Saccharomyces cerevisiae S288C: one gene and its partners. The gene in region 2 interacts genetically with the main gene of each other region. Each region holds a gene or a part of one and is shown on either strand. Other genes may lie near its edges.

Region 1 (3,745 bases), on a different chromosome or scaffold from region 2:
AAGTCATAATTTTTTCAAGAAGAGAGGCTGGATGAGGCTTTACTGATTTTCTGGAGAAATCTTGCCATGAGTCAATGCTAAGAAAATTTGCAAAAACCCGCGCCGTGCGGCACCCATATGTGAATAAAGCTTTACTAGTAGATAGAAAATGTAGACCATTCCTGCAGGGTCCATACTACGGACGTATGGCTTTGTGAATCGTTTCACAAAGCCAAAAGAATGAACCCAATACGCAAGGTCCAGTTATGCAGAGAGCAGCAGGATAGCGGCTGTTGCACGCAACGAGACTGTTCTCTCATGTTTTCCACGATTTGATATATCCCCCTCTTAGTAAATACAGAGCCGTTCGAACGGTTTCTTTAGTAAAATCCAGGCTCCACCTTGATGGGAGGCATGATGAGTTCCAATTAGGAATGAGCAGGAGCTCACTTTAATCTTGTTATCGCAATGTGGAGTTAGCCTTAAGAACGTGTCCAAACCTCTTATGTATTGTTTTGTTCGTAATTTGATCGCTTTGTACGTGCAAATCGCTCTCTGCCCACAGCAGGAAGGACCACATAAGTGAATAAGTAAGTGGTGGTTCTATGATTTATCGGGATCTTATATTTGCATTCTAAAAAGTAAATGGTCTCTAGCGGGATCGAACCGCTGATCCCCGCGTTATTAGCACGGTGCCTTAACCAACTGGGCCAAGAGACCTATTTTTTTCGGAAGTCACTGATTAATAGTTTGATAATACAGGTGTAAAGAGTAGTATTTTCATGTGTCGCATTGTGTATGACAACATATGTGCGTTCGAAATAGATATAAGGCTTCTAATTTTCAAAGAAGGCGGTATCGTTAAGTATATGCATATGTTACGGTTTCACCTTGAGGATTAGAACTCTAAAAAAGGAAATAAGAGTGCTACAAAAAATGACGATTACTTCTTTTTTCGTTCTATGATATCGCCGCTCATTGTTCTATTACATCACCAATCCTTGAAATTTCAGCTTCATTGAATTGATGATGCTTTTAATAGAAACCATTTATGTCATATTTTGAGAGCCATACATGATAATATTCTGGTAATATAATCATAAGTTATTGGTTGTAGTTGGCGTAATATTCCAGGATTACGAATATGTATTTTATTTTACGCCCGCCATGTTGTATTTTTTTATCATAAAATTTTACACCATGACAAATCTAATACCACTGATGCAGTGTACTGTTTATACTTAAGAAATAGGTAAATTTTGAGATAATTGTTGGGGTTCCACAATACTGTCTGTCATCTTCTGTTATTCTGAGTATTTTTTTTCCTTTTAGCAGTTTCTTGTTCGTACCTTGGCCACTGAAAATTCTGGCTGAGACAATTATCAGGAACACTTCTAGTCCTCAAAAGTTCCTTCTCATTTTCTTCTTTATGAAAATATTTTTTCAATCATTGTATGTATGTATTTCTTTTTCCGTTAAAACGCTAAACCAGGGAAAAAAACGACGGCGGGAAACTGAAAAATTTCACAGATGAGGTAAGAAAATTGGCGAAAACAGCTTATAGAGCTTGACACAGAACTTTAACAATTTTAGAGGCAAGAAATAACGCTTGCCTTGGTATAATCAAATATCTCGAATATGTCAACACCCACAGCAGCAGATCGCGCGAAGGCACTTGAAAGAAAGAACGAAGGAAATGTTTTTGTGAAGGAAAAACATTTTTTAAAGGCCATTGAAAAATATACAGAGGCGATCGATTTAGATTCTACACAGTCTATCTATTTTTCGAACAGAGCATTTGCTCACTTTAAGGTAGATAACTTTCAAAGCGCTTTAAATGACTGTGATGAAGCCATTAAACTGGATCCCAAAAATATCAAAGCTTATCATAGACGTGCATTATCCTGCATGGCTCTGCTAGAATTTAAAAAGGCTAGGAAAGATTTGAATGTGCTTCTAAAGGCGAAGCCCAATGATCCGGCTGCTACTAAGGCGTTACTTACATGTGATAGGTTCATTAGAGAAGAAAGATTTAGGAAAGCTATCGGAGGCGCAGAAAATGAAGCCAAGATCAGTTTGTGTCAGACTTTGAACTTGAGTTCATTTGATGCTAATGCAGATTTAGCCAATTATGAAGGTCCAAAGTTAGAATTTGAACAGCTGTATGACGATAAGAATGCCTTTAAAGGTGCAAAGATCAAGAACATGTCTCAAGAGTTTATTTCCAAAATGGTTAACGATCTTTTCCTAAAGGGAAAATATTTACCAAAAAAGTACGTTGCAGCTATTATCTCTCATGCTGATACCTTATTTCGTCAAGAGCCATCTATGGTAGAACTAGAAAATAACTCTACTCCTGATGTTAAGATATCAGTATGTGGTGATACGCATGGCCAATTTTATGATGTTTTGAATTTATTTCGCAAGTTTGGTAAAGTAGGTCCTAAGCACACTTATCTATTCAATGGTGATTTTGTCGACCGTGGTTCTTGGTCGTGTGAAGTTGCACTATTATTCTACTGTTTGAAAATATTACATCCAAATAATTTCTTTTTGAACAGAGGTAATCATGAGAGTGATAATATGAACAAAATCTATGGGTTTGAAGATGAGTGTAAATACAAATATTCACAAAGGATATTTAACATGTTTGCACAAAGTTTTGAGAGCCTTCCATTGGCTACCTTAATTAATAATGATTACCTTGTAATGCATGGTGGTTTACCAAGTGATCCTTCAGCAACTTTGTCTGATTTCAAGAATATTGATAGATTTGCCCAACCACCTAGAGATGGCGCCTTTATGGAACTTCTATGGGCGGACCCACAAGAAGCCAACGGGATGGGTCCTTCTCAGCGTGGTTTAGGACATGCTTTTGGACCCGACATTACAGATAGATTTCTAAGAAACAACAAATTGCGCAAGATTTTTAGATCTCACGAGTTAAGAATGGGTGGTGTGCAATTCGAGCAGAAGGGTAAATTAATGACAGTTTTCAGTGCTCCAAACTATTGTGATAGCCAAGGTAATCTTGGGGGTGTTATTCATGTTGTACCAGGCCATGGTATTTTACAGGCTGGCAGGAATGACGACCAAAATCTAATAATTGAGACATTCGAAGCTGTTGAGCACCCAGATATAAAACCAATGGCCTATTCTAATGGTGGTTTTGGTTTATAGTCATGCCTTTTCTATTTTGCTAGATTATTATCAAAAGCAGAAAGTCTGGGAATAAAAGAAACTAATATGAGCTAACGAAGTGGAGGAAGTAACTTTTTTTTTTTTTTTATAAATTTATACATCTTTCACAAAAAATTTCATAATGTTTATTGTCATGTATCATATCATAATACCTCTTAGAAAAATAAGAAATATCTTCGTTGTTGAACAACATTATTCCCTTCAGCCAGGAAATTATTTAAAAAAACAACACTCACGATGGGGGTCGAACCCATAATCTTCTGATTAGAAGTCAGACGCGTTGCCATTACGCCACGCGAGCTATTGAAATTACACTTGTGTTGAATTACGGGCTCGAGTAATACCGGAGTGTCTTGACAATCCTAATATAAACAGTCTTAGGGAAGTAACCAGTTGTCAAAACAGTTTATCAGATTAATTCACGGAATGTTACTTATCTTATATATTATATAAAATATGAATCATACTAAGTGGTGGAAGCGCGGAATCTCGGATCTAAACTAATTGTTCAGGCATTTATACTTTTGGGTAGTTCAGCTAGGGAAGGACGGGTTTTGTCTCATGT
Region 2 (3,729 bases):
AAGCCAAAGTTGACAGAAAAGTTGATGGTAGACTTTTTGCTAGAGAATCATGGTCAAGTCAATAATGAGGAAGATTTGGAAGGTATACAATATCTCGTTGAAAGGGCCCGCTCTAAGGTGCCAATGCTAGAGGATTCCCTTGAAGGGGAAGATTACAATTTGTGTCATTTTTGGAGTAACTTTGAAATTGCCCGCGTTGATTTATTCGACAATGAGATCTATAACGCCTATTTTAAATTTTTGGAAGAGTCTGGAGGTTTCTGGACTGAAAGGTGGGGTGACGCGCCAATTCATTCAATTGGGTTGGGAATGACCTTGGATCTAGAAGACGTTCATTATTTCAGAGACATTGGTTATAGACACTCATCGCTGCAGCATTGTCCGAAGAATGCCTTACAAAGCCAAGAAAATCTCAACACTTTCGATGAAGGTTATAACTTCGGATGTGGATGTCGATGCGTGTGCCCCAAGAAAGGTGAAGACATCGAAGACCACTCCACCCCTTGCATGGATATTTTTTTTGAATTGCTTCACGGCAGGGAATATGAGAAGGAATTCCCTGGTTGTTACAAGCCCTCCATAAAGGACAAAGACGTGATTGAAGAGATCAGAAGAGAAAATTTTAGAGTAATTGAATAGATACAGTGTTTTCTATACATTTATACGTATGAACAAAATTATAAAAGAGTCTACCAACTTCTCCAGATATCTACGAACTGGCGGTGTACTCAACAGTCTTCGGACCACATCTAAGTTTGTTTACATTAATAACAATTCATATTTAACTCATGGAGGTTTTGATGGCAATGTAGCTACTATTTTCAATATTTCAGAATTCAATTACATCAATTCTTCGGCCAAGGGGTCACTTCTAACTTATAAAAGCATTACCTTCTTTTGTCCAAGATATTTCAAGAAACGGCCTTTAGGGAGACATGCGAAGGGAAAAGGCAAATCTGACGAAAAGATTCTATAAACTACGATTTCCAATATACTTAACACACAAGAAATGTCTGCTAAACCCGCTACTGACGATGCCAAAGATGAACTTCTATCACCATTTCGCCGGCTATATGCATTGACAAGGACACCTTATCCTGCGCTCGCAAACGCAGCACTATTAGCATCCACTCCGGTGCTATCCCCAAGCTTTAAAGTGCCTCCAACGCAATCTCCTGCCCTCTCGATACCAATGTCTAGGGTATTCTCTAAATCTTCTACTGCCAGAATCGGTATAACTACTAAAACCGCCCTTTTCTTTTCTACAATGCAAGCTATAGGTGCATACATGATCTATGACAACGACTTGGAAAATGGGGCTGGCTTCATTGCTACATGGTCCGCCTTATATTTGATTGTAGGGGGCAAGAAGTCCTTTAGTGCGTTAAGATATGGAAGAACTTGGCCGTTGGTGCTATCCTCGGTTTCATTGGCCAACGCAGTCCTTTATGGCCAACGGTTCCTTGCTACCGGATTCCAGTGATGCTTACATCTATTAATGTCTTAATATTTAATTTTGTATCCTCTGTATTATCTGTATGAACCACGTGACTTAACATGAATGGATTTGCTTCCACATCTTTCACCTCTTATCATACGTTCATAACTTCTTCATCCGAAGTCAGATTTGACCCTCAAATAGATAAGACGCCAAGAACAAGCGTCAACGGAAAGGCGAATTCTACAATCAGGACATAGCATCAAAGAGAAAAGGAATTCTAAGGTATGGAGGCTACATCAAGTGCTCTTTCGTCTACGGCGAATCTCGTTAAGACAATAGTTGGCGCTGGTACACTTGCCATTCCGTACAGTTTTAAAAGCGATGGTGTTCTGGTAGGGGTTATTCTTACATTATTGGCGGCGGTAACATCCGGTCTGGGTCTCTTTGTGCTATCGAAATGTTCCAAGACCTTAATTAATCCAAGAAACTCTTCTTTCTTCACATTATGCATGCTCACCTATCCCACTTTGGCCCCAATTTTTGATTTGGCAATGATAGTTCAATGCTTTGGTGTGGGCTTAAGTTACTTAGTTCTTATTGGTGATCTCTTTCCAGGACTGTTTGGTGGTGAAAGAAATTATTGGATAATTGCATCAGCTGTAATCATCATTCCCCTATGTTTAGTGAAGAAACTAGATCAATTGAAGTATTCTAGTATTCTAGGTCTTTTCGCGCTAGCATACATATCAATTCTGGTGTTCAGTCATTTTGTGTTTGAGCTGGGAAAGGGTGAATTAACAAATATATTAAGAAATGACATATGCTGGTGGAAAATTCACGACTTTAAAGGATTATTATCAACTTTTAGCATTATAATTTTTGCTTTTACGGGATCAATGAACCTATTCCCCATGATAAATGAATTAAAAGACAACAGCATGGAAAATATCACTTTCGTTATCAATAATTCGATATCCTTATCAACAGCACTATTTTTGATCGTTGGTTTATCAGGATATTTAACCTTCGGTAATGAAACCTTGGGTAATTTAATGTTGAACTACGATCCTAACTCAATTTGGATAGTAATTGGCAAATTCTGTCTTGGCTCAATGTTAATTCTTTCCTTCCCGCTTCTCTTTCATCCGCTGCGCATAGCAGTTAACAATGTCATCATCTGGATTGAGATCACTTATGGTGGGGCAAATCCCGAAGAGGACCCACAAGTTTCGGAATACACTCGTGCTTCCAACCTAAGACCAATTAGCATGACTGTGGAAGATCCAGCCCAGCCCAGTGATGCACTAGACGCAACTTCTTATAACGAGCAAGAATGTTTACTACCTAACGGGAACTTTGATAATGGTTCAATTGAAAGTCAAGAGAACAATAATGATGAAAGAGGGACTATGGCGGTCGCCGGGGATAACGAGCATCATGCGCCATTTGTTAAGTCTAGATTTTACTGGATTACTGCATTATTACTAATAAGCATGTATACCTTGGCGTTGTCTGTCCAGTCATTTGCACTGGTTCTTTCATTTGTAGGGGCTACAGGTTCAACGTCTATTTCATTCACTTTACCTGGATTATTAGGTTACAAATTAATAGGCTTGGATTCTTTGGCTATTGGGAAGATGATTCCACCAAAAGATAGATTTTACAAAAGGTGCAGCTTATTGCTAGTCTTCTACGGACTATCTGTGATGTTTTTGTCATTGTATGTAACTGTATTCAACCGTTCAGATGAAGCCTAAATGGACCAATAGTCATGCAAGAGAAGTATAAAACAGTATATAGTAAATAGTAAATAGAATCAGAGACAGCAGACTCAAAGTTTTATGCTTAACGCGATCATCGACTAGTTTAATACTTTATTCTATGGCACTTACAAAAAGGTATTACCCTGCTAAACAATAAAGATCCCTGAAAAAATGGAGCAGGCTCAGAGAATGTGACTTCATGCGCTTTAGTGGTAAAAATACTGCCTAAATAGTCCCTAAAAAAAAAAGAATAAAAAATAACTCCGAAGCGGGGAGTCGAACCCCGGTCTCCACGGTGAGAACGTGATGTGATAGCCGTTACACTACATCGGATTTGATTAGCTTGATTTGAATAGAAAAACATGTTACCATATCAGTAAATATGAATGATCTTTATTTATATATATATGTCCGGAAAATTGTAGGAATAAAAACCTGTTGGAGTAAAAATCAACCATCATCTATCAACTAGTAGTTACACTATCAATATATTATCATATACGGTGTTAAATGGTGACGCAAGTT
Region 3 (5,337 bases), on a different chromosome or scaffold from region 2:
TACAAATTCTAATGAATCTCAAATTTCTCCTGATTCCACAAGAAGTTATGAGCCGGAATGTCCAGTGGCATACGAAAAAAATGATAATCCGGCAGCGTTGAATTTATTACGGATTGCTTCTCATAAAGCAGGCCAAAACGCGGATGGCTTACCAAAGACATTTAGAAATAGAGCATTTTCCATTACTTCTACCTCCGGCCAACTTTCAAGCTTAAGCAGACACAGCACCCTTGGTAATGCGGATCCTAATTATCTGAACGATGATGATGAAAGCTCTGATGATGATTTGCCATTAGCTTTGAAAATGGTGCTAAGTCACATGAAAGAAAAGAAGGACTAAGATATTGAAAAGTCCTAATGTAAGATAATTACCAATTTCATATTCATTGTCGATTTCACTTCGCTTAAAGAATTTTTACTGTTTGTTTTTTGTAAAGCCTTTCCAATAAAAAATAGAATGATAGATAAAGGTCATAACTAGAATGGTGGCGAACAAAGCAAAACTTAAATTATCTCTGCATACAAGCGTATAATTTCCTTATCTATAGTAATATATAAGAACTAGAAATCTGCCTATTAATTAATTACCTCCCTAATCTTCTGGGAATTATGATAAGTCAAACCTGGCGCCTGAGTTTATTGCATATAATAATTTCTCTCTCAAAATTGTTTTGTTTCTATAATCTGGCAATTTTAATAAATTAACACAGGTAGATGCCGTAGGCAGCCTGTATTTCTCTGTCCCTGCATTTCTGATACCAAATTTTGGATCTAATGCCTTGAAGCCTTGCAGAGGAGCTTGCGGAACGGACGTGACAAATTTCAAAAAATTCAATTTCTCTTCAAACTTAAACTCATTCAAAACCTCCCAAAAATCAACAATTGTCTGATCTTCTTCTTTATAACCCCCGTATTCTGTGTTAGATTTCAGATCGTCTAAATCGATATTATCTCTCTCACCTGATATTAACATTTGTAGTTCTATAGAGTTAAACATCTCCATCCAATGTGGGGCAATGATAACACTGAGCCCTCCATGGAATGCCGAAACTGGTTTGAAGCATCTTTTGTTTAATTTGTAATCCGTTACTTTAGTAACGTAGAGCAACACATTATCCTTCGTCACGTACGTTTTTGAACCATTCGGAATTAAGTCAACAACTTTTGCGGAACTTTCAGGCTCATCTATTTCAAAGGTTAAATCTAAAGACTTGATCTCGTCAGTGGTCATGTTCAATAATTTGATCAAATTATTATACAACACCGAATCATAGCTTCCCAGATCAGAAAAAGAAGATAAAAACCCGTTCGAGTAATTCAATAATTTTTTCAAAAAGAAATCAGCAAAAGATACATCTATCAAAACATGCTCATATAGACATTTGCCTACAACCTTTCCCAGAAACCATATATACTTAAGTTTCGTAGCGTCATAAACAACAGAAGGATATAATTCGTAGCGATCATTCGTCCGAAATAACTCGTGCTTTGGATCTTTAAATCCTTCATCAGACACAGTAGTTAAAAATTCCTTGGTAATGCCGCCCCCATCAATACCAGCTTCTTCACCAAATTCATTAATAAAAGTAACATCTAATGAAGCTTTGAACCTTTCTCCTATAGAGTTAAATGCGTTGAAAGCATCTTCTAAGACATTATCCCTAGAGATGATAGCGGATTGCTTCCTCATACCGGTGGAGGCCCAGGGGGTAAACATATTGATCAAGTTGTGATCGTCATCTAAAGATAATCGCTTCTTGTCCAGTGCGATGAACATATAAAATAAGTCCACCCTTTCTTCAAAAGGAATAAAAAATGGTAATTCCAAAAGTATTTCCAACTTTCGGAAACGTAATGATGACTTTAATCTCTTTTTCATTTTGTTCAATAATAAAGACTTCAAAGGAGGCCTTTCTTTATCAAGATCTATTTCCTTTTCCATATCCTCATCACTTTCCTCTTCTAAGTGTTCTCTATACAGATCTTCGTACTCCTGTAATTCTTCGTAAAATCTCAAATTTAAAAATTGCTTTTCAGAGTTTTCCCAATAGGTTGGATTATTCTCCGTGGATAGAAAGTGCAATCTTGAGTCCCTTTCGTAGACTTTGCTCAAAAGTGGTACTGCTTCCTTTAACATAGGGTTCCTTTCACTTTTAGGTAGTTCCCAATATTGTCGGAAAGTAAAATCTTTTAACGTGGATGTAAATTTCTTTAGTTCTTCGATAGGTATCACAGAGTTGTAGTCTAATAACTCCCGATCTGTCGATATTAAAAGGTGCATGTCGATAAGCTGTGCCAAAACTGAAAACAGGGGGTGAGCCTCAGTCTTGCTGGCGTTGAATTTAGTGTGAAAGAATTCCCATGAGAGCCTTCTCACGAAGTCTTTGTTAGACAGTAAGGTAATAAGGACAGAATTCTTACAGCTTTGATTGGGAGAGCTTGCAATGTAGCACATCAAATTCTTCACGTGATCTTCATCAGAAACGTAATTTGCAGTAGTAGCAATAACTTCGTCTATAAATGCCTTTTCATAAAATTTCAAGACATAGTCGTTATCACTACGCAAGACTGATGGAGCAATATGATTGTTGAAGTTTGGTATGAGTAGCTTGGCGATATTTTTTTGGCCACCTTTACTACAGTGTGAATATGTCTTTGCCATGTTATCCCATAATATCGGATTTGTGTTGATAAGTTGGGGCAAAAGGTTTCTTTCGGCAAGTATGCAATAAAACTGTAGTGCAAATGGCCGTTTTTCGTAAGATCCTATCGATATCGAAAAAATACTAATGGAGGCACTGCTATGCATTACTTCCCATGCTTCTATGACATCAGCTAGCTTAGAAGCTGAGGAATAACTCAAAAAGGAAGCCCGACAGAGATAAACGGATAGACTATCTAAAAATTCGTCAACTGTAGGGCAGTCCATGTTAAGATCGCTTAGAGTTTCAGCCACCAGTGCATCATCTTGATATAGCTTCAACAAGCTCAATAGCTGTCTGTTGCCTAAAGAATTAGGATAAGAACTCAAAAAATTATGAGATAATTTTAGCAGTTGCTGCAGATCATATTGAGAAATGTAATAGATTAATTTGCCCCCGTAAGCTGGTATCATATGAACAAGTTGCGAACTAGTAAATGTGTTTTTGAAGAGTCTCACATTTGAAAAATGTCTTCTGATGCTTTTTTGAATGGTTTTACTGGCGTCTTCTTTGAGCTTATCTTGTGCTCTCCTTTCACGTTCCCTTTTGGCCTTTTCCAGTAAATCCTTCTTTGAATTTCGAGTCCTATTCCCTAAATTGACATTTCTTCTCCTTGTTTGACCGGTGAAGTTTAACATTTTAAGTCAGAATCCTTTGAAATGCTGCTTGAGATAAATTATAACGCTTTGCCACTCGAATGAAGTTATAGGCGAGTCATCCTTAAAAGTTTAAGTGAGATCGTTATAGTGCGGAAAAGGCGAACTTTTAAGGTAAAAGAAATTCAAGCCATTCACACCATGAGGAACGGAAAAAGATAAAAGGCATTAAGATAGTGTAGGATTGTGTAATCCAACATAATATCTAACTTTCAATGGCTCACGAGGTTCATAGAATAAAACCTAAACTAGGACGGACCCAAATATTTTGGGTTTTTCTAGCCTTTAGAGTACTGAATGCAGTTCTGACGAGAACCTTCTTTCAGGCTGATGAGTTTTGGCAAGCATTGGAGCCGGCACATTGGAAGGCTTTCAAGTATGGTGAACTGACTTGGGAATGGAAATTCGGAGTTCGTAGCTATTTATTTCCGATGATTTTTGAGCTGACTTATAGATTGGTTTCTCTATCGTCAATCCTTCTTCACTATGCACTTCTTCTTCTCTCAACGATAGGGTCTGATTTATTAATTTTACTACTGCCGAAATATGAGTTAAGTTGGCAAGTCGCTGAAGACTTGAAGAGGCTTCCTTTTGATGTCACACGGTCGTTCGAATATTATGGTGTGATATATGCGCCAAAAATAGTTATGGCAGTACTAGCTTCCATAGGGGAATATTATATCGTAAGATTTGTTCAAAAGCTCTATTTACTTACACTTGATAAGAGAAACGAGAAGGAGGAAGAGGAGAGACGCAGCGGTTTATCCGAGATTACGAAGTTTGCACTGCTTTTAAGTTTAACTAATTTTTTTAATTGCTTTTTTATTACAAGAACGTTCATCAACTCTTTTGAAATGATTTTAACTTCTATTGCCCTCTACTACTGGGACTGGACAGGCGGACAAATGATAAAAGAGTCATCTTTTACTAAGTCGCTTATTTTTGCATTTCTGGCATGTTTGCAAAGACCCAGCAGTGGACTTATTTGGGTAATTCCCAGCATTTCCCTAATATTAAACTTGGTAGGCAAAAAGCAGTATCATTTACTTTTCATCACATTTTCCAAAGTTTTACGGTCTTTTTTTCTGGTATTTACTGCAAATGCAATTATCGACATGTATTTTTATGAAAAAGTAACGTTTCCCTTTTTCCGATTTCTAAAATTCAATTTCACAACACCATTATCAAAGTTTTATGGGGTAGCTCCTTGGCATTTTCATTTCTTTCAAAGCTTACCTATCGTATTAGGTGCAAGTATTCCCGCTTTTGCATTTGGATTATTTTTTCCACTAAGCAAAAGGAGTTTCCCAAAGAAGTATTTAAACCCGTTTTTCCAAGTGAAACTCACTATCTTGTTGAATCTGTTGGTGTACTCTACGTTACCTCATAAGGAATTTAGGTTCATCTTCCCATTACAGCCACTTTTCATATTAATATCATCATTTGGCCTTTTGAGACTTGATAGAGATTATTGGAAAAGACTATCTGGCCTAAAATCTTTACTCTGGCTTGTTCCATTCGTGTCGGTGTTCATCGCATTACTTTTGGACACATTCCACGAATCTGGATCTATCGAAGTTATGAAATTTTTACATGAAGAGCCAGAAATAGATAGTTTGGGATTCATAATGCCCTGTCATTCGACACCTGGTCAAAGCTATTTACACCGCAGTGACATTCAAGATCTGTGGTCGATTACTTGTAACCCTCCATTGCATTTACTTGGAGACCCAGAGGCTTACTCCAAACTAGAGACCTACATGGATGAAAGTGACCATTTGTATGACGATATATCGGCATTCATTTACAAAAATTTCCCACCGCCTTTTCGTAAGGATCTAAGGAGTCCAGGTAAAACATACAGCCACGAATGGCCAACATATTTGGTTGTTTTCGAGCACATGGAAAACGCATTTCTAAAGGATTTCCTGAAAGATTCATCATACATTGAATACAATAGATTCTTCAACTCTCTTGCG

What was found.
Region 1: mutations in AVT7 (region 2) and PPT1 together harm fitness more than expected from each alone (negative genetic interaction), as found in Saccharomyces cerevisiae (one large-scale study listed by BioGRID).
Region 3: mutations in AVT7 (region 2) and HUL5 together harm fitness more than expected from each alone (negative genetic interaction), as found in Saccharomyces cerevisiae (one large-scale study listed by BioGRID).

The regions. Positions count from the first base shown.
Region 1 is NC_001139.9:736,076-739,820, reverse strand, and holds PPT1 (protein serine/threonine phosphatase), read left to right. Parts: upstream 1-1,617; coding exon 1,618-3,159; downstream 3,160-3,745. UniProt on the Saccharomyces cerevisiae protein: Protein phosphatase that specifically binds to and dephosphorylates the molecular chaperone Hsp90 (HSC82 and HSP82). Dephosphorylation positively regulates the Hsp90 chaperone machinery.
Region 2 is NC_001141.2:197,400-201,128, reverse strand, and holds AVT7 (Avt7p), read left to right. Parts: upstream 1-1,725; coding exon 1,726-3,198; downstream 3,199-3,729. Other genes in the region: KTR7 (putative mannosyltransferase), read left to right, coding at 1-639; YIL086C (uncharacterized protein), read left to right, coding at 668-976; AIM19 (Aim19p), read left to right, coding at 1,010-1,483. UniProt on the Saccharomyces cerevisiae protein: Probable amino acid transporter of unknown specificity.
Region 3 is NC_001139.9:236,356-241,692, reverse strand, and holds HUL5 (ubiquitin-ubiquitin ligase HUL5), read right to left. Parts: upstream 3,341-5,337; coding exon 608-3,340; downstream 1-607. Other genes in the region: YGL140C (uncharacterized protein), read left to right, coding at 1-340; GPI10 (putative glycosylphosphatidylinositol-alpha 1,2 mannosyltransferase), read left to right, coding at 3,574-5,337. UniProt on the Saccharomyces cerevisiae protein: Non-essential E3 ubiquitin-protein ligase that specifically catalyzes 'Lys-29'- and 'Lys-48'-linked polyubiquitin chains.